Linked DNA regions of Rhinolophus ferrumequinum. The protein of the gene in region 3 purifies or fractionates together with the protein of the main gene of each other region. This does not show direct contact. Links are inferred from orthologs where the notes say so. Each region holds a gene or a part of one and is shown on either strand. Other genes may lie near its edges.

Region 1 (6,939 bases), on a different chromosome or scaffold from region 3:
CCAGGATGGAAGTTCATGGCACCTTCTCAACAACAGCCACCTCTGGGGCTGTACCTATCACCCCTACCCTGAACTTTTCCTTCCCTACCTGACTTCCACCTCCGGCTTGTTGTGTCGTTCCACGACCTGGGAGGAGAAATTCTCCAGGCAGAGGGCAGCCTGCAGTGTGGCCCGCACGGCACTCAGGTAGGGGCGGAGAGTGGCAGTCTGTAGGAAAAACCCCAAAGGAGGATCAGAATCTGTCTCACCAAACACACTGGTCCCCTGCTCCAGCTACACAGGAGCCAGGCAGTACTGAGGGTGCTGGATTCTCAGACACCGAAGAACAGACTAAGCCTTCAAGGTGCCTTCCAGTCTAAGTCTGGAGCAGTGGTTCTCAACAGGGGACCATTCTGCCTGCCAGGGGACATTCGGCAATGTTAAAACATTTTTTACCGACATGACTTGAGATGGGGGTGCTACTGGCATTGAGTAGAAAGAGGCTGGGCAAACTGCTAAACCTTCTACAATGCACAACAAAGAGTTGTTCAGCCCCAAATAGTGCCGAGGTTGAGAAACTCCGGTCTAGAAGCATACAGGTAAATGAATGATTGTCCTCAATCTGTCTTTTGAGCCAACAAATGGATAAATCTACTATGTGCCAGGCACTGAGCTAGGGGCTGGGAATTCAATGATTAAGACCATCTCTACCCTTAAACAGCTCAATGCGGGGAGAGACTATGATACAAAGAAGAATAACTGAATTAGATTTACAAGTTATATTTGCAGAAGCAATTGGCTTTGATTTGAAGATGGAAATACAATTAGGAGTACTTTAGAATGAGAAAAAAAGAGTAAGGGCATTCCCACTAGAAGGATCAGCTTCTAGCTACTCTAACTCATCTTCATTTCCTTACATTCGCCAAGTTCTTTTTCCCCTCAGAGTTTCACACTTGCTGAACTATCTATCTGCAGGCTTTTCTACCCTCTTGTCGCCTAAGTCATCCTTCAGATCTTGGTTTATTCAGGGACAGCCTCTTCCTTCCTCAGAGAAGTCTTTCTTGACTTCCCCTTAGTAACAGTTCTTGTAATTTACAATGATACATCCTTCAAACATCTTTAGTAAAGCGATTTCTCTTTCACTAGACTGCAAGCCTCAGGGTCAATAGACCGCGTCTATTTTATTCAAATCTACATATCCTGCTCCTAGCTCAGTTAGTACCTAACCTATATAGTGTCATTCATTTTCTGTAGAATAAATGAATGAATGAAAGCTGTAACTTAAGCAAGGTTAGGATTAACACAAAAGGGCATTAAGAGTTCCAGAAGTAATAATGAGTACAATGTTGCTGTAGGAAACATATTTTAGATTTAGTAAACAAGGCTGCAGTGGTAGTCTGGAGATTCATGGGGAATCTCAAATGCCAGGCTACTGAGTTTAGCTTTTCTTTTAAGGTGGTAAAGAACTGCTGGGACTTTCTGAGGGGGAAGTTATAGGACCACAGCTGCAGGGGGGCTCTGTGGAGAATGGATTGGAGAGGGAAGTAAGACATAAGGCAGAGAGAGTTATTCAAGGAGTACTGATGAGAGCCTAGACTGGGGCCTTAGAGAGGAAAAGCACAGCAGTTCGACTATAACATAAGTATCAGAGCAATTCAACTGTAACATAAGTATCACAGCAGTTAGACTGTAACATAAGTATGCCAGCGATTAGACTATAACATAAGTATCACAGCGGTTAGACTACAACATGGTTAGACTATAACGTAAGATGTAGATAATCATGGAATTAAAACACCTCCCAACAAACTACGCTCCATTGATACAATTAAATACTACTCAGAAATGAAAAGGAGTAACTACTGATACAACACGGATGAATCTCAAATGCACTATGGTAAGAAGCCACATTCAAAAGCCTACATACTGACAATTCCATTTATATTACAATATGGAAAAGGCAAAATTATTGGGGGGTTAAAATCAGTGGTTGCCTGGGGTCGGGGAAAGAGGAGGAGGCCTGATTACAAAGGGACTGGCGGGAACATTTTGAGGTGATGGGAATGTTCTGTGCCTTGATGGTAGTGGTTACGTGATTGTGTGTGTCAAAATTCATAGATGATAAACCGGAAAAGGGTGAATTTTAGGTGGCCAGCCCCATGACACCTGCCCTTTCACAAATAAAACAGTCTCATGCAATACCTCAATAAACCTGATTTTTAAAAAATCAAGAGGTATGGCCAATTTAAGAAACAAAGAAGGAAGAGCGAGTTTAGGAGAAAAGAGGAGTTTTGATCTGGAGGTTTAATGTCAAAGTATCTTCAAGATATCCAGGCAAACCTTGGGAGACACCAGAATACACAAGGTCATCAAAGCCAAGGGACTAGACAGGTACATTACTCCCAGGAACGTACACATTTATCAAACAGGAGGATTTCCAGGGAGAGAGATCAGCAGTATCAGATCTTACAGTAAGGCAACAACGTTTTTGTTCTGACCAGGAAGGGGCTCGGGTGGAGGCAGCTTAAGAAATCCTTCAGTACGGTAGAATCAAGGTAGGGGGTAAGGAGAAGAGTGGGATATGGAAGTGTAGACGCTTCCCTGGGGAAACTAGAGAGTCTGGCGGGCAGGAGAAAACAGAGCAGTGCATTTAGTGAAGTTCTATTCCGGGTGGGGAGGTAGCCCTACCACCTGAGCGCTAGCTACTACGAGCCTAGGAGGTCTCACTTCCGGCTTCCTCCATGCCTCAGGTATTCCCTACCTGTCTCCAAAGACAGACTGTGAAGTCACCATGCCTACTTCTTACGAGGGCGTTCCCCGCTCGCCCCTTCCTCCCTTCGACCCCCACCCCGCCTTCTTTCTCCGAGCCTCATCGTGCCCCCAACTCCCCAGCATCCCTCGGCCCCAGGCCTCTCCGCTGCAAAGCCGTATCTCCCCCAGACCCACAACTCTGAGACAGAATGGGGGGGGGGGTCCCTGGCCCGGGGCCCGGCTCTCTCACCATCGCGGGCGCTGGCTGGGCCGGAAAGCGGAAGTACGGAAGTGGCCAGGCCCGCGACGCCTGCCCTTTCGCGAGAAGCGCAGCCGCAGTCTCCGCCCGGACTTCCGGACAGTACCATCTGTGCTCCGAGCAGGGTGAGGAGAGCCTCGGAACGCTGGGTCCCTTGGAAGTTTTCCCGCTAGGACTGCCTTGGTATCTTTAGACTGCTGCAATTTCAGGTCGGTACTCAAGCTTCTCCCGTTATCCATGCAGCTCTCGCTTGTGACTTTGGCTTTCTTGTCCTATTTGCCGCTTTCTTTCCCCATAGTCATGCAATGGTGCCGCCCGGCCGAAGGTTGGGCACCATATTTGGACAAGGCGAGGCGGAGGAGCCCTGCGTTCCTTCCGGTTCTGCGCCCCCATCCTTCCCCCGAGCCCCTCCTACCGGCTGCCTCTGGGGCTCGGCGGAACTAAATGCCTGACCGAAAACCCGGCTGCCGAGCCCCGCCCTCCAGCCCTTGGCTGTTCCCTCGGGTACCCGCGGCGTAACCCCCACCCCAATTGCAGTGGTCCAGCTCACGGCCCGCAAACCCTCCCCCGCAAGGCACCGTGAGCTCTCCCTCGCGTTTCTCCGCCCCCGCGTCAACTGCAGGGGCCCCGCCCATAGCCAGTTGCGAGCGGTAGATCCGACCAACCGGAACTCCCCACCCCCTCTCGCGGCCCGGGGGCCGTAGGAGGCCAGAGTGTGGAGGTAGAGGGGGCAGGAGCCGCGTTAGGGGTCTCGAGTGGACGGGGACCCTGAAGGCGGGGCATTGGGGCGACCCACGGGTGGAGCCAGCCGTTAAGCAGTCCCACTTCTGTGCCAGGCACTGAACTGGGCTCTTGACGAGCATCATCTTTTAATCCTCAGAACATCCGGGGGAGGTAGGTACCATTATTATCCCCATTTTACAGATTCAGACTTCTTATGGGGAAACAGACCCACACTACTTTGTCCCCATTTTGCAGTTGGAAAAACCGAGACTCAGGAAAGTTAAATGGCATATTCAGGGCCACATACATAGAGAACGGCAAAGTTTGGGCTTGGACCCAGGTATGTCTGGCTTACCATATCACATTCTTAACCACTGTCGGGCAAAAATAACCGGCAAAGTGGGAAGGAGTGAGACAAGGTGAAGCAGGGAGGCACAATTGAGAATGGGATGCTTGGAGCTCAGAGGCTTAGCAGAACTCACGAGAAGAACAACAAAAGAAAAGAGCATCAGGAAGACGTGGCATAGTGTATCATGGTAGTGAGGGGCTCAGACTCAGAAATACCTGGATTCAAAGTCTTGGTAAGCTTGGGCATGTACCCACCCTTACAAAGTCTCAGTTTCCTTATCTGTAAAATGAAGAGCACCATGGTCCCTGCTCAGAGGGTGAGGAATCAGTGAAAAGCTGGTAAGATGTCTGCACCTTGCTTGGTGCACAGTGGGTGCTCTCGGAGTAATAGCAGTGCCATCAGTCTTGTCAATAGGGTACTGAAGTCGGGCTTTCTCCTTGAGGCTGTTCCTGGATGGAGGGAACCCTTGGGCTTTCCTTGTGCCACTTTACCTCCCATCAATGTCCCTCTCCTTTTCAGCTCCGCAGGGTATCCTGGGCCATGAGTGAGCTGAAGGACTGCCCCTTGCAGTTCCACGACTTCAAGTCTGTGGACCACCTGAAAGTCTGTCCACGCTACACAGCAGTGCTGGCCCGCTCTGAGGATGATGGCATCGGCATTGAGGAGCTGGACACTCTGCAGTTAGAGCTTGAAACCCTGCTTTCCTCTGCCAGCCGGCGCCTGCGGGTGCTGGAGGCCGAAACTCAGGTGATACCCTACAGAGACGACGTCACCAGGGGTAGACTGATAAGTTATGGGATGGCTCATTGAGTTCGTCCCATCTGCTAAGGCCTGGGGTACAGGAGGTTGCAGGGGGGACAAATTGGGTTCTAGGGACACAAAATAAGCAAGAACATGTGTGATCTCCATAAACTGCAAGATTTCTAAGCATTTATTGACAACACAGCCCTCCCGCCCCCGACCCACCCCTTATGTTCTGGGTCCTGTGCAAGTCATTAGAGAAAGATAATTAAGACAATTCTGGCCTTCAGGGAGTTTGCTAACTATAAGTGGTGGGGGGCTGGTTAGACAAGTACCAGGTGATGTGTTATGGTTAGGGGGAATAGGGGAACTGGAATGAGGAGAGGATTTGAATCCTGGACTAAGCACTAGTTAGTGTTAGTTTCCTAGCTCTGTGACTTTGGGAAGATTACTTCCTATTTCTGAGCATGTTTCCTGTCTGCAAACTGTGCCGAATAATAGGACGTACCAAAGAGGATTTGTGAGGATTAAGAGAGGTTTTTTGTTTCGGTTTTTTTTTGCGAAGTCTGAGCCCAGTTTCTGACACTAAGTCAGCATTTTAAATGTTAGTCATTGGCACTACTCTCATCTCTCTTCACTGCATAAACATCCTCTGGGGCCTGTGTGCCAGGTGCTATGCCAGATCCTGGGGGACAACTGGTTAAGATGAGCTTCCTGGTCTCCAGCAGCTTATAATCTAGTCAAAAAGATAAAGTATGCTGTGCATTTTAGTATGTCCAAACAAGATGTTTGGGCCTACAGTGAAGGTGCAAAGTGCCAGGGACTCATAGAGGAAGAAGATGCCATTTCAACTGGACTTTGAAGTATGAAGAGCGTTGACTTGTGGTCCCTGAGAATCCACTGAAGCTTTTTGAACAGGGTTGTGGCACAACCCGTTGTATTTTAGTGTCTAAGCATCAGGTAACTGATGTGAAGAAGGCTTCCCAGTTGTGACTTTCAAAATGAAGGTTTGCTGGGAGGCTTGCTTGCCTTCACCAAAAAGTTTCCACCAGCATATTTTCCCAGACCTAGCATGCACTGGGGTGTGATCACTTGTTTGGCCTTGCTACTAAACACCACCGAGGTGAATCAGAATACAGACAAAATGAATGGAATGATGAGAAGTATCTGAGTAAAATCCTGTAAGATGGACACAGAAAAGGAGCTGGGTTTTAAAGGATGAGTAGGAGTCTGCTAAATAAAAAGGGGGTGGGGAAAGACTTTAGCGCCTCCTCAAGTTCTAGATCCTGATTCTTCACTGGGGGAAACAGTTGTCCTCTGTCTTCCCTTCCCTCCCTCATTAACAGTCTCTCTGAATTTCAGATCCTCACTGACTGGCAGGATAAGAAAGGTGACCGTCGATTCCTGAAGCTGGGTCGAGACCATGAGCTTGGGGCTCCCCCCAAACATGGGAAGCCCAAGAAGCAGAAACTGGAAGGGAAGGCAGGGCATGGGCCAGGCCCTGGCCCCGGGCGACCCAAATCCAAAAACCTTCAGCCCAAGATCCAGGAATATGAATTCACTGATGACCCAATTGATGTGCCTCGGATTCCCAAGAATGATGCCCCCAACAGGTTCTGGGCCATAAAACATAGAAGGGCCTTGGGATCCGGGCCGTGGAGACTGTGGAGGGGCCCAGGGCTGAGGCTGGTGGGGCACGGAGTGCCCACTTAGGATCTGCTTCTCCCTGCAGGTTCTGGGCTTCAGTGGAGCCTTACTGCGCTGACATCACCAGCGAGGAGGTCCGCACACTAGAAGAGCTACTGAAACCCCCAGAAGACGAGGCTGAACATTACAAGGTAGAAACCCTGAGCCTCGATAGACATGATGGAGAACAAGAGGGCTGAAAGGTGCCTCAGAATCAAAGATCCCAAAGACATATGTCATCTTACTTCCCCTACCCTGTCCAGACTCCTCTCTGCCCCATCAAGCCACCCAGACATCCATTCTTTCTCCTTGCATTGTCTCCCTTCTGCCCCATCCAAACGGTCACCACATCCATCCTAAGGCTTCAATTTCAGTGAGGTCCCCCCTTGACCCCACATCTCCATCCCCTCTACTTTGGTTTAAGACTTCATCAGCTTTCACCCAAACAGCG
Region 2 (7,448 bases), on a different chromosome or scaffold from region 3:
CGTCAGAGAAGGTTCGTGGTGAGACAAAGGCAGGCCGAGGCTCTGGCCTCTGGGGCACCCATGCACTTGTCACCATGGCCCTGTGAGCCAGCATTCTGTGGGCCCATGTGACCGTTGAAGACAGACAGGAGGGGGACCTGAGGATGGCGTTGGGACGTGGGATTCACATGAAGTGCTCAGTGTCTCCCATCACTCCTGAAACTGAGTGAGGCTGGGCGAGCATCGGCCAAACTCTGAGAGATTCCCTATCCCCCTAGACTGGAGCCAGCATCTTTCTGTGGTCCCAGCAGTACTTTCCAGACTGGGGAAGCATCCACAGCTGGGGGTTTGAGGGCAGAGAAGCGTGGCATGAGGGTTGGGAGGGGGTATAGCTCTTCAAAGTGGGGTGTGGGTCTCCATCAAGGGGTGCCAAAGACGACACCCTGGGGTATGTACGTAAGCCCCAGGGGGACAGGGGTATTTGTTCACTGATGTATCCCCACCACCAATTATAGTACCTGGCACATAGTAGATGCTCAATAAATATTTCTTGAATGTGGCTGAATGAACGATTCACATCCTTTCTTTCATATCTGTCTTAGGGGATGTTCTATAACGGATATGCCATATTACTTCAGTGGCATATGGATGAAATTTGTAAATATTTGCTGGGGAGCATGTGCTCAAATTTTTTTCCTGATAGGGTCAATGATTAGAAAATCCTGGAAACCTGCAATCTAGAGGGTCCTCTGAGGATTCAGGGAGAATATAGCTCCTCTCCAAAGCAAAGCAAGCTAGGCGAAGCCTCAGGCTGCCCGGCCAAGGGTCTCATGCCTCAGCACTCCTTCCTTACAGTGCTGCGTTCATTGTACTGGCTGGTGCCCTCATACAATGCTTCTTCACATCTCCGTTCAAAAAAGGCTGGGGCTGGATGAGGCACCGGCTGTAGGATTTTTCATCCTTTCAGACAAGCTTTACTAGCCTTCCCTGAATCCAGAGGTTTGGCTGTATTTGAGGTTAATCCAGGCAGGAGCTGCCTGGAGGCAAGGATTTCGGCTCCACAGGCATATAGGGAAGTCCCCACCCAGCTCAGAGTTTGGCTAGAGGGAGCTGCTAGTGAGCCATTTTGCAGCCTGCTAAGCAGTTACTCAATTTCCTGTTATGTGTAGAACAGCCCTTGCCACCCCAAAAAACCCAGCCAATCAATCCCTTCTCCCCAAATCTGCTCTTAAGGTCTTAAAAAGCAGGCAAAGTCAAGAAACACAAACGAAAACGATCACAAGGCACCATAAAGCTCCAGTTAAAGTAATCCAAATAAAACAAAAACCAAAGCCACACAAAACTCAATGCTGGCAGGACTGTAGAGAAATTCTCATTTGTTGCTATTAATAATTTGTTCAGCCTTTCTGAAGAGCAATGTGATAACGCTCAACAACTGGGTAGGAACAAACAGAACAGAATAACACAAACAGGAATTTAAGATTGTTAACACTGGTGGCATAAAGTCATTTTTGTGCTAAGAAAACAGCCACTGACTTTTAAAAAAGCAAATATGTCCAAAATAATCCTCTTTATAATGGTGACAGGATAAAAAAATCCAGATGACTAGAGATATGGAAAGAGTACATGTGATATTAACACATTGGGATACTATTTATTAGGAAAAAACCTATGTGGATTACATACAAACACATATGTAATAAACTAACTTTTCTTGGCATCTCTAAGTGCCCAGGATTTACCCAGGACGTTGACGTACATTCTTTAACCCCTAAAGCAAGCCTAAGAAGTTTTTTGGTGTTTGTTTTTTTTTAACCTTTGTTTTGTACAGAAGGAAACTGAGACTTACACAAAAGCCAAGATTTGCTCAGTCACACAGCTCTTAAAAAGCACAGCACATTCTGACCCCAAATCTTAAGAGTACAGGTTCACCTGGACAGCCACTTTGATAAACATAGGCAAGCCTTATAATAACAGTGACAATAGCAGCACACACTTATACTGTGCGTGCCTGGCATATTGCCAAGTTCCTTATACATATTATCATATTTATGTCTCACAACTTGAAAGTTCCCGATTTTCCAGATAAGGCAAGTAAGTTGGGGCCCAGAGAGATGAGGTGGTTTGCTAAGGTCATCAGCCAGTGAAAGCAGAAGCTGGCACTCGTATTAGGGCCCCGAGGACTCACAGGTGATGGGTGCTCTTAAACATCGGGCAGCACCGCGCCGGGTGCCCGGCGGGAGGAGCCTGGGGACAGCCTGGAATAAGCTGGGGAGAGCCTCCAGCTCTCCTGCTGCTTCACGCTACTCATTACTGTATTACAGTTACTGCCCGCGGTCCCGGCCCTGCCTCGTCTGGGTGTCCTGGCTGTTTTCCCAGCTGCTGCCGGCAGGGGAGGGGCCACTCGGATCGGATCCGCTCGGGTCCAGCTCAGCCGGTACAGGACGCCTCGGACCTGGCTCCCGGGGCCGGGAGGGGGCGGCCGGGAGGAGAGAGGGGCGGGGCGGGGGCGCCAGCTCATTTCCCGCTGGAGCAACCCGGAAGGTTGGAGGATTGGGGGAAGTGACTGGGCGTGGGGCCCTCGCTGCCTGAAATAACGGGGACACCGACCGTGGGGAAAAGTCAGGGAAGTGGGGAAGCAAGGGAGGGGACGAGGGGGAAACGTGGGCCAGGGATCTCGCCGCCCCGAGGGCGCCGGGTGCGGGGAGCCCTGCGCTGCCCACTCTTCGGCCGGCCTGCCGCCCGCTCCCCACTCACCTCCTGGGGAGCTTCCGCCCCCGCGTACCCCCTCACTACTGGGTACCCCCTTCCCCTCCGGACGCCCCCAGATCTCCCGGCAGGTTTTCCCCCGCTCCTCCCCTTCAGGCTCCCCTCCCCGCGCCCCTCTCATCCCCGTATCCACCCAAACTCCCCTCACATCTAGGCAGACCCCCGGCCCTCCACCTCCGAGCCACCAAACCCCCGCGCCTCCTCACCTCGGGGCGCCCCGGCAGCGGACTCTGGGCAGTCGACGCGCCGAACCGGCTCTGGGACTCGCAGCCACTTCCTCGTGGGCGTGGGGCGGCGCTTCGCAGCCTCAGCCCCAAGGGGATGGGGGCGGGGACCAGGGACCGTCCGGAAATCCAAGGCCCCGCCCAACCCTCCGGGTTTCGGGTCTGCACCGACCCAGGGAGCCCAGAAATCATCCACGACCGCCCCTCACTACTTTATGGACGGGGAGACTGAGGCTTAGAAAGGGGTGCGCAGCCTGAGCACAGCCGGCGGGTACCCGGAGTCTGGCAGTGTGCATGTCCCCCACCCCACCCCACCGAGAGCAGGACGGGCTCTACGTTCACACGCTGGTGCTGGTGACCCAGCAACTTAGGGAACCTCTGCAGGCCTCTGTCCCCAGCTCACGGGTACCATCACGGGTACTTCACTAACTGATGCCTGCTGGGCGACAAAAGTGCAGTACGGTGTCGACAAGGCAGCCAGTCCAGCCCTCCCAACCCTTCCCATCCTCACTACAAAACTGGGGTGCTGGCCCTGGTCAGGAGTGCACACCAGCGCCTCAGCTGACTCTGGCTGTTCCAGCATGTTCTCTCAATGCTGACTTTATGACCTTTGGTTCCACTGCAGACTGCTTCACTTCTTTCATATCTGGCAGCCATGCCGCCACCTGAATTTGGGTCTTGGCTCAAGTGGCCCCTGGGATCTTTCCATCTCTACCCTCTGCCTCATTGATGAAGATGTGGCCAGGTGGCCTGGCACACGAAGGAGGCCCTGGTGAACACCCTGCACCCTCTCAATTCGTCAGGCCCCTCTTCCTAGGACTGACTCATCTCACCCCAAATCAGCCAGGCAGCAGCAGGCAGCAGTGGGAGAGGGGAAGGAGAGGGCTTCAGGGGCTCAGGAGGTCCCTGGCTAGATTCCCAGCCTATCGGGTGTAGGGGCTGTGACAGGTACTGTTCTTTCTGCCTAGAACACTTTTCCCACCCTGTCCTCACCTCACCCACTTCAGTTGATCCTGCAGGACGCAGCTGAGTATCTCAGATCACTTGGTCCTTGACCCCCTTTCCATTAGATGTGTCCACTGGACTCCCCACAAGATCCTTTGTTCCCGGTCCCAGCTCCTGTTGCACTGCATTTCACTCCTACAGCGTGGTTGGGAGGATTAAATGTGTCCAAACATGGGGAGCACCTCCAGGAGCGAGCACTGATTTAGTGCTCAGTATACTTTAGCTAAGATTTGTATGATCCTGAGCCTTCCTGGCTCTCAGGAGACAGTGAGGGGCTGTTACCGGGGTCCCCCCCATCTAGCCTTGGCACTCTGTGATGGCTTTAGTCTAACTAGAAAAGTTTAAGATGGTCTGTACCGGCAACCCCCTTCCTGTGGGGACAGGTGAAGTTGTGGGGGGACAGCTGTGTGTCCCTGGCTTCTGTTCCATCCCTCCACAGCTTTGTACATGCCCAGGTGGGACTAAACCCCACCTCTGGTGTGGGCCCTGAGTGCTCTACCCACTCAGTTCCTGGTGTGCTATCCTAGGCTTGTGACTTCAGATGGCCAGGTCAAAGCAAAGCCCAGGACTTTGGATGACAAGGGAGGGGAAAGAAGCCCCTCTTGAGTGAGCTGCATGAATCTGAACACTAAAGTTGAACAGCCACAAGGGAACCCTGACGACTGGGTTAGAGCTCAGATGGAGAGAATCCCACAGAAACGACCAGAGTCCTGGTCAATCTCTGACTGGTCAGCCTGCACTTAACCTGCCTCCAGAGCTTTCCGATATGTGAGCCAAGGAGACTACTTTTAAGCTGGTTTGTTTTTCTGATACTCATCACTGAAAGCATCCTAACAAATACGCACCCCAGAGGACTCCCTTTTCCTCACTGTGAAAACTGAACTGAAGCAGCCTGCTTTGATGAAAAGATGACTCCTAAGCTTAGTGCGAGCAGAAACCGTGTTTATATCGCTCACTCTGCTCTCCCCTGTCCGGACGGCGCCTGGCACATAGGAGCCACTGAATGCGCATCTGTTGAATGATGAATGAATAAGTGTACAAATTAGAAAACTGAACCCAAGCTTCACTTGTGTAGCTTCAGGCAAGTCACTCTCCTTTAGTGCTTTACAGATGGTTTCTGCATCTGTAGAGTGAGGCTGACTCCTAACAAGCATTGCTGTCCTCTCACAGGCCGCACTGTGGTCCATTATGGGAAGGAAGCCCCAATGGATGGGGAAGCACAGCTCAAACTGGGAACCGACAGGGCTGTTGTCTGAAATGGTTCCGTTGGGGGACAAAGTTTTCTAAGCCTAAGTGAAGCCACTCCTTGGGCAAGGGGAAACTGGGGGTGGAAGAATTTCATTTGGAGTTCTGAGAACTTGAGAGTTTTCTGTTTCTTCCTGGAATCTGCTTCCCCCTGCAGTGCCATGGGATGGAGATGCTGCACTCCTTTCTTTTCCGCCTTCTCAGGTACCCGAGAAATGCAGCCACACACCCAGGCTTCAGAGTTGGCCACCTTGGAGGGCACTCAGTGGAGGGCACTGGTGCAATGTCTCCAGGTCATCAGGGTTCGCGGGCTTTCTGCTGCTTTCTCCTCACCACACTGGCCTTACTGTCTCCTGGTCACAAGAGGGCAGCCTAGCTCCAGACATCTGGACTCAGGACGCCGTGGGCTAGCCAAGGCAGTGGACACCAGGGTTGGTAATGAGCTCAGCATGATCTCCTTCTGTCTCAGCATGCAGGCCCACCCGCAATGGGGACCATAGAGCTTTCTCCCTGACATCAAGGGACTGCCCTCGCCCCATCCCTGGGAGCAGGAAGGAAGAGGAGAAACCTTGTACCTCCTTCCCCAGGCCACACATACATGTGAGGTAGTAGCCAAAGCCCGCGAGGGCAGATGTCCACCGCGGCTGAGGCCCAGAACACTCAGCATTCCACACTCCGGCCCTGCTCCAGGGGCGGGCCTCCTAATTGGGGGGGCACTTGTAGCAGACCCCCTTCCAAGCCACATGGCTTTGTGAGTCAGTTCAATTGAGAAACTCAGGTGTACAATGAAACCTCACAAGGTACAGAGGGTCCCCTCCCATCTATTCCAACGACATCCTGAGCTTGGCGAAACGAACTGGGTTCGGTCACTACAGCAGCTCCACTCCCTGCCCTTGCCCAATAGGAGCACGTTTGGCAGGAACTGCTGGGCTCTGGACATTGTCATAGTTTCAACGTGAGCTGTCACCCCCCCCTCTGGACTTGGAGTTTTGTCATCAAACGTGGCAGTAACACTTCCCACAGTATAGGGTTGCTGTAGGCGGTTATAGCCTAGCAGAGTGCTTACTTTGTCACCTGGCACTTAGCTATTCTTATGGTAATGTATCAAGGTAAGGAGAAAGCACCCTTCCTTCAGGAACCAGTGGTTCTCAAACCTTTTTGCTCATGACCCAGTGATACTGTTTCCCCGAAAACAAGACCTAACCGGAAAATAAGCCCTAACGCGTCTTTTGGAGCAAAAATTAATATAAGACCCAGTCTTATTTTTGGGGAAAAATGGTATATATTGTGACCTAGTACAACCCCCAATACTCTTACTACATGCAATGCAAAATCTGTTATTTTCTGTTTCATTTTTTAAATGCTAGTCATGACCTCCAATGTAAAAATTGATTTTTACAACCACTAATGGGCTCTGTCAGTGCAAAACACTGCTCTAGACCGTGTTTCCTTCCCATCTCTGAACTGACGTCAGTTTGTTTCCTAGCGCTGCTGTAGCCATTTCCGCAAACAGGGTGGCTGCAAACACCACACATGGATTCTTGTACAGGTCTGGAGGTGGGAGTCCACAACCAGCCTCAGTGGGCGGGCAACAAGAGAGAACCTGTTTCCTTGTCATTCCCAGTTTTCAGAGGCTACCAGGTTCCTGGGTTCCATGGCCTTGTGACACTCCAACCCAGGGGCCCACCAGGCTCACCCAGCATACTCTGATCTCAAAATCTTTGATTTAATCTCATCTGCAGAGTAAACAGGTCTGGGAATTAGGACACAGACACCTTTGGGGGTGGGGGGCATTATTCCACCTACCACTCCTAGTACTGTTTCCCCGAAAACAAGACCTCGCCGGACCATCAGCTCTAATGTGTCTTTTGGAGCAAAAATTAATATAAGCCCCGGTCTTATACTATTATATTATATCTGGTCTTATAAAACTGGGTCTTGTATTAATTTTTGCTCCAAAAGACTCATTAGAGCTGACTGTCCGGCTAGGTCTTATTTGCGGGGAAACACAGTATTTAAATTACACACATACAACTTAAACAACATAACCTTGGAACTCATATACGGATCTGTACTGTTTATTCCACAGGGGTAGCTTTATTGCCACAGCTACTGCACGTACCTGGGGGAACTCTGGGCCTTCACATCATTGCCTCCAGACTTGGAGGAACATGGGAACTAAAACACTTGCATGATGATTGTTGGGCAAACTGGAGTCATCCAATT
Region 3 (7,340 bases):
CACAAAAAAGAACCAGTAATTATGTGTCGTGATGGAAGTGTTAGCTTGACACTATGTGTAACCATTTTGCATATAAATGTATCAAATCAACACATTGTATACCTTAAACTTACACAATGTTCCATGTCAATTACATCTCAATAAAACTGAGGGGAGAACATGCCTTCTGACGGGATGCACTAAGGAGGATTGATGTCACTTCTGTGGCATTCCTGACAAAAATGCATAACCTATATCTATCACAAGGAAGCACCGATGAGCCTAAATTGAGGGACATTATCCATAACAACTGGCTGCCAAAAATGTCAATGTCTTGAAAGACAGAAAAAGGCTAAGGAACTGGTCCAGTTAAATGAGACTACAAAGACGTGATGACAAGCAAACACAGTCTGTGGTGCTAGATGAGGGAGCAGAGGTGAGAATCCGTAAGACATAAATGGGGCCATTTGTGTCAGTCCAGACTGCGTACAAGAGAACACTACCGCACGATGTCAAATCTGATTTCGATCTTTCGCCTGTGATTGTGTGAGAGCTCTTTGTTCTCAGAAAGTATACACTGAAGTATTTTGGTATAAAACCACACTTAAACAGTTCAGAAAAATAATAATACATATAGATATACAGAAAATGATAAAGCAAATGTTAATAGTTGGTGAAACTGGATGAACAAATAGTTTTTTGGTACACTTCTTGCAGCTTTTCAGTAGGTTAGAGCTGGTCTCAGGGTTTATTAGAGGATGCTAGGCTACCAGGATGGAATGTATTTTGCTCTAACAAATACTCTTTAGCACGCTGTCCAATAAATCATTAGTGTCTACCATGTATAGTTCAGTGTGAATTTTTATTCTAGAATTCAGTACTACACAAAGCTCTTTCACCAGAGTAACGGGCCTTTTTCTCCCTTCCTGATGACAGGAATTACACAACTGCTGATGGCTCTTACAATTTTGTCAGACAGGAAGACGAAGGCCAAATGTGAGGCTAAACTACAGCAGCCACCGGCCCACAGCTTCGGGGACTCCCCAGGCCCACTCTTCTCCTTGGCTGTGGTTGCTTTTATCTGCATGTCACCCCTTTTTATCCTATTTTGAGGTAAAAGTCAATCCAAAAACCATTTTAACTCTCCGGGAAATGTAAGAACTACTTATATGCTCTCAGTAAATTAAGGCTCTTCCAGGCTGCTCCTTCTGGCCATACACTGGACACTAGGACTTCATGAGTGACCAGTTGTTGCCATGACAGAGTATGTCCACGTGAGACCCACTGGGAAGATTCTGTGCCACTGTTTCTAAGTTGACACCAAAGCCTATGGCAGCTTGGAGACAAGAACATGACTTGGGGCCATAAAACAATGACATACTGAAGTTACACCTCGGACAGAGCAAAGTTACTCTTATCACGTACCTCTGAAGGTCAAAACTGGGCACCCCATTTTGGATATTTATAGCAAGAATGATGAGTTAGGCCCTCGGCTTACTAATATTAAAGGTGACAAACTCTGTGAGCATTATTGTGTTCCTATCGCCAAGACATGCCTTGTATTCCAACAGTTTGACAAGACCAGAAATACAAAAGCAAAAATCATTTTGGGAATGAAAAATACTTTTACCTGTTGCCTTCAGTCTTGACACAAGCAGACCTCAAGTGGGTGTGGGGTGAACACTAGCTTGTGGGAGGGGATGCGTAAGGGAGTTAACAATTGGGGGTGTTAATACCAGCGCTGATTTGGGCTTGTATGTTGGGTAGCAAAACGACTTCTGGTACAGTGCGTATTTCAAAAAGCTTAGTATAGAGGCAAAGAGGCAGTTTATTTTTGTGGGTGTTTTTTCCAGCCTGTAACCACTACCGGTGGCTTCAGCAGCAAAAGGAAAAAAGAATCAGTAGGAGATGGACTGCAGCAAACTAAAGAAGACACCCCCACAAGGTTGTCAAGGAAACCAAACCAACTGCGTTTCTCCATAGAAAAGAATCAAGGCTGAGAGCAACGTGCCATGGAACATTTTGTGACAGAAGTGATTACAACCCCGTCTTGAAAACTCTTTAAGAGGCTACATCACTTCTAGGCTATTTTAACCAGTACTTCATCTAGAAAGCAAGCAGGCAACCTTGCATTTCCAAACGACCGGCGAGACGGGCTCCGTAAGCACCTTCGCAAGACCAGCTAAGCGTGGACCACGGCAAGCACAGGGCATTTCCAACGGTCTCTTCTGCACATCTTAACGTCAAAAGAAGCAAATCACACCCAGACAGTAAAGGGACAATAAAACTACACCACAAATAGGCTTTCCCCAATGTAAACTTTCTGTGTTTCAAAATGGGGCCCTCCCCCCCCCCACCCTTTTTTTTAACCTTTTTAAGCGAAAAGGCAAATCTACACCGACTAAAGCGAGGGCGTCGCCTGGGTGAGCCATTCAGTCCCGGGAGAGAGCAGAGTGCGCTGCAAAAAAGGTGTCAAGTTGGTCACGATGGGAAAAGCTCCCCAAGTCGGTGGGCGAGAACCCTCAGCCGGCGGACACGGCACGCACGCGGGGGCCCGGCGAGGGCCCCGGGAGGTGGGCGGGAGGCACACGACGTGCAGCGCCTGCAGCGACCCGCCGGACGCCGGCCTCCCCGGGAGGCTGAGGCCAGGGGGCGCCCGCCCGGCGCGAGGGCGGTGCGGGAGGCGAGCGAGCCGGGGGACGTCTGCCTCGACTGTCCCCGGTCAAGGTGAGGGGCCGGGGCGCGCGGCGCTGCCGGCTCTAGAGGAGCGGGGCGGGGACGGGGAGCCGCGCGGGCGCAGCTCGGCCTCCAGGTGAGCGAGGGCGGGCGCGGGGCAGGTGCCTGGCGCCGGGGCGGGAGCGGGCTGGGCGCCAGCGGCTCTTACCCGGTGCCGCAGTCCACCACGCAGGGAGGCAGGCAGCCCGCCATGCTCGGCACGCGCGCCGCTAGGCCCACGCGACGGCCCCGGAGGCCCCGCCGCCGTCCGCTCGCCGCGCTTGCCCCGCGCAGCCGGCTCCCGGGAGCCTCCGCAGCGCCGCCGCGGGAGCCCGGATGCTCGGCGGCCGCCCACGTGACGCCACTCCATCCGGCCAATCACGGCGCGGGCACTCCAGGCCCCGCCCCCGCCCCGCCATCTTTAGTGCTGGCGGCGCGGCTTCCTTGCCCACACGCCCAACCTTGAAGAGATTGGGGACTATTTTTAACTGACTTACCGTGAACGTGACCGGGTTTCCGAGGCCTGGCTCCTCATCTGTAAGTCTCCCTGGTTCCTTCTCATCCTGTAAGTCTGGGCTCGAATGTCACCTCGGGGAAGTTGTCCCCTCGCACCTTACTCTGTATCTCAGGAATCTATTGCTTTCCTTCGCTATTTATTTGTCGTCTGTCCCCTCACTGGACTATAGGCTCCCCTAGGTTAGAGCTCGTGTTTGCTTACCATTGGTGACCCAGGACTGCACTGGTATGCAGGGGACTTGGTGCATACATGGTAAGCACCCAAATGTTTGTTGAATGAATGAATAAACGTCGCCATACAGAGAAAAGACACTCTGGTAGACTTACACCTAGCAGAACACTGCAGAAGTTATGTAACAGAAGGAAATATCCAAAACAAAGGCATGGCCAGCATGAAGGAATGAATGTCCTTAGATTGAATTAACACCACATCAAGGTCATTATATTCGGGGAAAATCTTTTCAAGTATCAAAGATGGAATCATCCCAAAGTTCTTACTGAGACCAGGGACCAGAGTGGTCAAGCACCTACCACGTCATAAAGGTACTAAAAGTCCCACTTGCTTCCTGCTGTGTGTCCTCTCGTAAATTCTTTTTTTCCATAAATTCTTGACGTTAACCTGTAGGAGCTTTCTGGAGATGTCATTTCATGTAACTGAACTATGTAGTATTAAAAGCATTGTGGTTTTTTTTTCCCTAGAAGAAGTAAAGGCCTTGTGTTAGATGGGGCATGAAATGGTGAGCAGGATACATACTCAACGTGTCAGAATCTAGTGAGAGAAAGCAACAGTCTACAGGCAGTTGCACTAGTGTGGTGATGCCTGGATGGCCAAGCCCAGGGTACCCAGAAAACCACTCACAGAGCCCCTAACCCTGACATGGCAGTCAGTGGAGCCTTCCCAAAGCCATGGGCTCTGAGCTGAACCGCAGTGAGTGGGTAGAGAAGAGCTCCCTGGTGGACAGTGTGGGGCAGTTGCGTGTCTCTGGGTGGGAAACATGTACAAAGGCCAGGAGGACCTCGAGACTCATAGGTGGCCCAGCCCACTTCACCAGGTAAGAAGCCTTTATAGGGACTTGGGACGGGCTAATTATAAAGAAAGTCCCTTTGGGGGAGTGTCCCCACTGCCTACGACGTATTGGAAGTGCTGGCCATGGTCAGAAGCTGGTAGGAAATAAAAGATTTCCTGACTTCCATTCCTTCCTCTGGACACCCCTAACTTTAGAGGTATCAGTTAAGATGTTTTCAAAGGCAGGTAACAGAAAACTTAAGGTAGCCCAAGGAATGAGCAAATGTTATTATGTCATAGGATCGGAAATCCAGAAATTCCAGGGTAACTCAACCACAGGTGTCATCAGTGTGGGCCTGTGCGTTTTGTTCTACCAGGTTTGCACATTGGCCGTTGTCCTCAGACTTACCCCCTTGGCGATGTGAGATGGCTGCAACAGCTGCTCCATACACCAACTGCAATGGGCAAAAATGGGGGAGAAATGCCCCGTCAGATTCCTTTCTAAGAGAGAGAGGAAGGAAACTTTCCCAGAAGGCCCTAGCTTATTCACCTGGCTCCATTCACCTGGCTCCAATAGGGGCTGCTGTAACAAAGCAAATGTAACAATTGTAACAATTACCTACAAACTGGGCGGCTTTAAACTATGGCACTTACTATCTCAGAGGTCTGGAGAGTAGAAGGCCAAAATCAAGGTGTGCGCAGGGCCCTGCCCTCTCTGCAGGCCCCAGGGGACAATGCCTCTCTCCCAGGTTCTGCAGGTTGTCCATAATCCTTGTCGTTCGTTGGCGGGTAGGTGCATCGCTCCGATCTCAGTTTCCAACGTCACAGGCTATTCTCCCAGCTCATATGTCTGCATTCATGTGGCGTTCTCCTCTTCTTATAAGGATACTAGTCCTACTGGATTGAGGGCTACCTTAATGACCTCATCTTAATTTAATACAGCTGCAAAGGCCTAGAAAGACCAGATCAGATCCCATTTATTATACCAGGTTTTAGGATTTTAACATGTCTTTCTCGGGGACAGTTCACCTCATAACACCAGCAGCCATTGGTAAAGGGAACCGAGGTACTGTGATCAGCTTAGACTATGAAGGGTGACCCCCTCGGGCTGGACGGGGGTCTTGTGTCCTCTGAAGCATATGGCTGCCAGTACCTGACTGGAGTCGGGTTTGATCAGCAGGAAGGGGAATGACAGCCAATAGTTTCTGCCTCACTCATAATTTTCCTACTTAAACCATTTTCTCCCACTCATTCTATGCCCTTTCACTCCTCTAGCCTCTGCTTGGAACTGTCGTTTAAACAAACCTTCCTCTTCCCCCTGCTGGAGTTTTGCCACCTCTGTGAAGGTGTCCCTCAGTTTCACAAAAGACTGTCACTCTCCTCTGCTCCGAGAGAGCCAGCGAATCCTTCCACGTTTGTACTTATTGGGTGGCATCATAATGGTCACACTTCCATCACCCCAGTACCCCAGGAGAAGCGTAGAACTGTCTACTAAGATGAGAACTGTCTAAGAGTACAACTGTTGGATACATTTTTTATCTTCATCGGGCACTGCCTGGCCTCTCTGTAGCCACTCAAGGAATAGCTATTGAACAAATGAAAGTCTTTAGGCAATCTTTAAACCTCTCAATTACACATCACACTTGCTATTACGTGCTTTTTTTATCTGGTATCTTGAATATTTTAAGCAAATACAAGTGGATATTATGTATCATTCCTGTGTTAGTGTTCTTACCGTTTTTTGTCTTTTTGTGCTGTTCTTCTGTATGGTACAACGTATTCTTCTGTGATATTCTTCTTAGGTCGTAAACTCCTATCGATCAGAGACTGGTGGCATCACTGACAAGTGCCTTAGAGCAGAACAGCCAGAGAGAAGCACGGTAAGTACAGTCGCCATTAATTACATTGCTAAGGGAGCTTGGCCCCCTCCCATATATTGCGCAAAATTCTCCCTCCTTGGAACAAGAGGCACATTTGAGTTGGCTTCCTTTAGCAAGGCATCTCTTTACTGTGCTTCTACCCAACAATGGCCGTCTACTCTCCCCTCCCAACAGGCAGAAACGTGGAAACCAGAACACTTCCTGTACAGGACCCAGCATCTCTTCTGGCCATCGAGGTGACTTTTTCTTAGCTACTATCCTTAGTGCTGCACAACCCAGCACCACTCTCAGCCGAACTTTCAGTAAACACCTTTTGATGCATTTTGATGCCTATGAGGACTACTTTATAAAATAATCAGGGCTTGGAGATCGTCCATGGAATGGGGTTTAGTCCGTGAGCGCTGGGACAATGTGATCCTAATGTCCTGCACTTAACTGGTTGCGCTGGGCCAAAAAGGAAAAAGAACACACAAAACGAAAGGCTGTCTTCAGAAACGGCCCACCCAGCCGCTCTGTGAATCTTGAATCACAGAGCTGGAGCCAAGCGCGATCTGGGTGTTCTCTGTTGCCATAGGATGCAAATAGAGAAAGGAGTCCCCAAAAATGAGTGCCGCATGCCTTTGAAAGTAGCTGGCATTCTCCTTTAAGAGGAAGGGCCTGTCACTGCACTCAATGGACCTCCCAGGGGTCTTGGCAGGAGTGGTAGAAAATGGTCCCAGCTGCAGCCGATTGGCCAGACCGTGGTGACTGTGTCAGAGGTGGTAACAGACCCGAAACCACAAGGTGGGTAAGTTGACCTGACCATCTTCAGATCAACAGTCCTCTGTTTCTGCCTCCCCCATGGCGGGCGATCACTGGCCTGGACGCCCCCTCCTCTCTGGCCTCGTGTCCTGTACCACTCAGCTGCCACGTCCTGTTCACCCCATCCCACCACTCCCCTTGTCTGTAGACCTGCTTTTTGTCTTCCTGCTGCTCTTAACTGAACTGCTGCATATCTGTCCATCAGCCACCCTGGCTCCAGGCTTTGGCCTGTCTGAGACTTCTCTGGGGCAAGCAGTGCTGCTCTGAGAGGTGTCTGCCAAAACAGAGAATGTGTGTACATCATGTCAGCCTCCTTCCCCCAAACCTTCAGGGACTTTCCCCAAACCTTCAGAGAGACTCTCTATTATTACAGAATTTGATCCCAACCCTGCTTATGACATTCGAGGTCCTCTGTGATCTGCTCCCGAGTCACCTTTCATATC

Evidence for each region. Proteins that work in one complex are often made in the same cells at the same time.
Region 1: the proteins of ACTR3B (region 3) and ARPC4 purify together in Homo sapiens (affinity purification with mass spectrometry; 5 studies listed by BioGRID and IntAct, counting the BioPlex papers as one, with this or other methods). This does not show direct contact. The link is inferred for Rhinolophus ferrumequinum from reciprocal best matches to the Homo sapiens genes ACTR3B and ARPC4.
Region 2: the proteins of ACTR3B (region 3) and ARPC1B purify together in Homo sapiens (affinity purification with mass spectrometry; 5 studies listed by BioGRID and IntAct, counting the BioPlex papers as one, with this or other methods). This does not show direct contact. The link is inferred for Rhinolophus ferrumequinum from reciprocal best matches to the Homo sapiens genes ACTR3B and ARPC1B.

What each region holds. Positions count from the first base shown.
Region 1 is NC_046300.1:44,117,673-44,124,611, forward strand, and holds the start of ARPC4 (actin-related protein 2/3 complex subunit 4), read right to left. Parts: upstream 3,091-6,939; 5' UTR 2,984-3,090; coding exon 2,981-2,983; intron 208-2,980; coding exon 89-207; intron 1-88. Other genes in the region: TADA3 (transcriptional adapter 3), read left to right, coding at 4,602-4,808, 6,165-6,415, 6,535-6,640. UniProt on the Homo sapiens protein: Actin-binding component of the Arp2/3 complex, a multiprotein complex that mediates actin polymerization upon stimulation by nucleation-promoting factor (NPF).
Region 2 is NC_046290.1:89,608,369-89,615,816, reverse strand, and holds the start of ARPC1B (actin-related protein 2/3 complex subunit 1B), read right to left. Parts: upstream 3,091-7,448; 5' UTR 2,955-3,090; intron 1-2,954. UniProt on the Homo sapiens protein: Component of the Arp2/3 complex, a multiprotein complex that mediates actin polymerization upon stimulation by nucleation-promoting factor (NPF).
Region 3 is NC_046309.1:2,856,228-2,863,567, forward strand, and holds the start of ACTR3B (actin-related protein 3B), read right to left. Parts: upstream 3,012-7,340; 5' UTR 2,908-3,011; coding exon 2,864-2,907; intron 1-2,863. UniProt on the Homo sapiens protein: Plays a role in the organization of the actin cytoskeleton.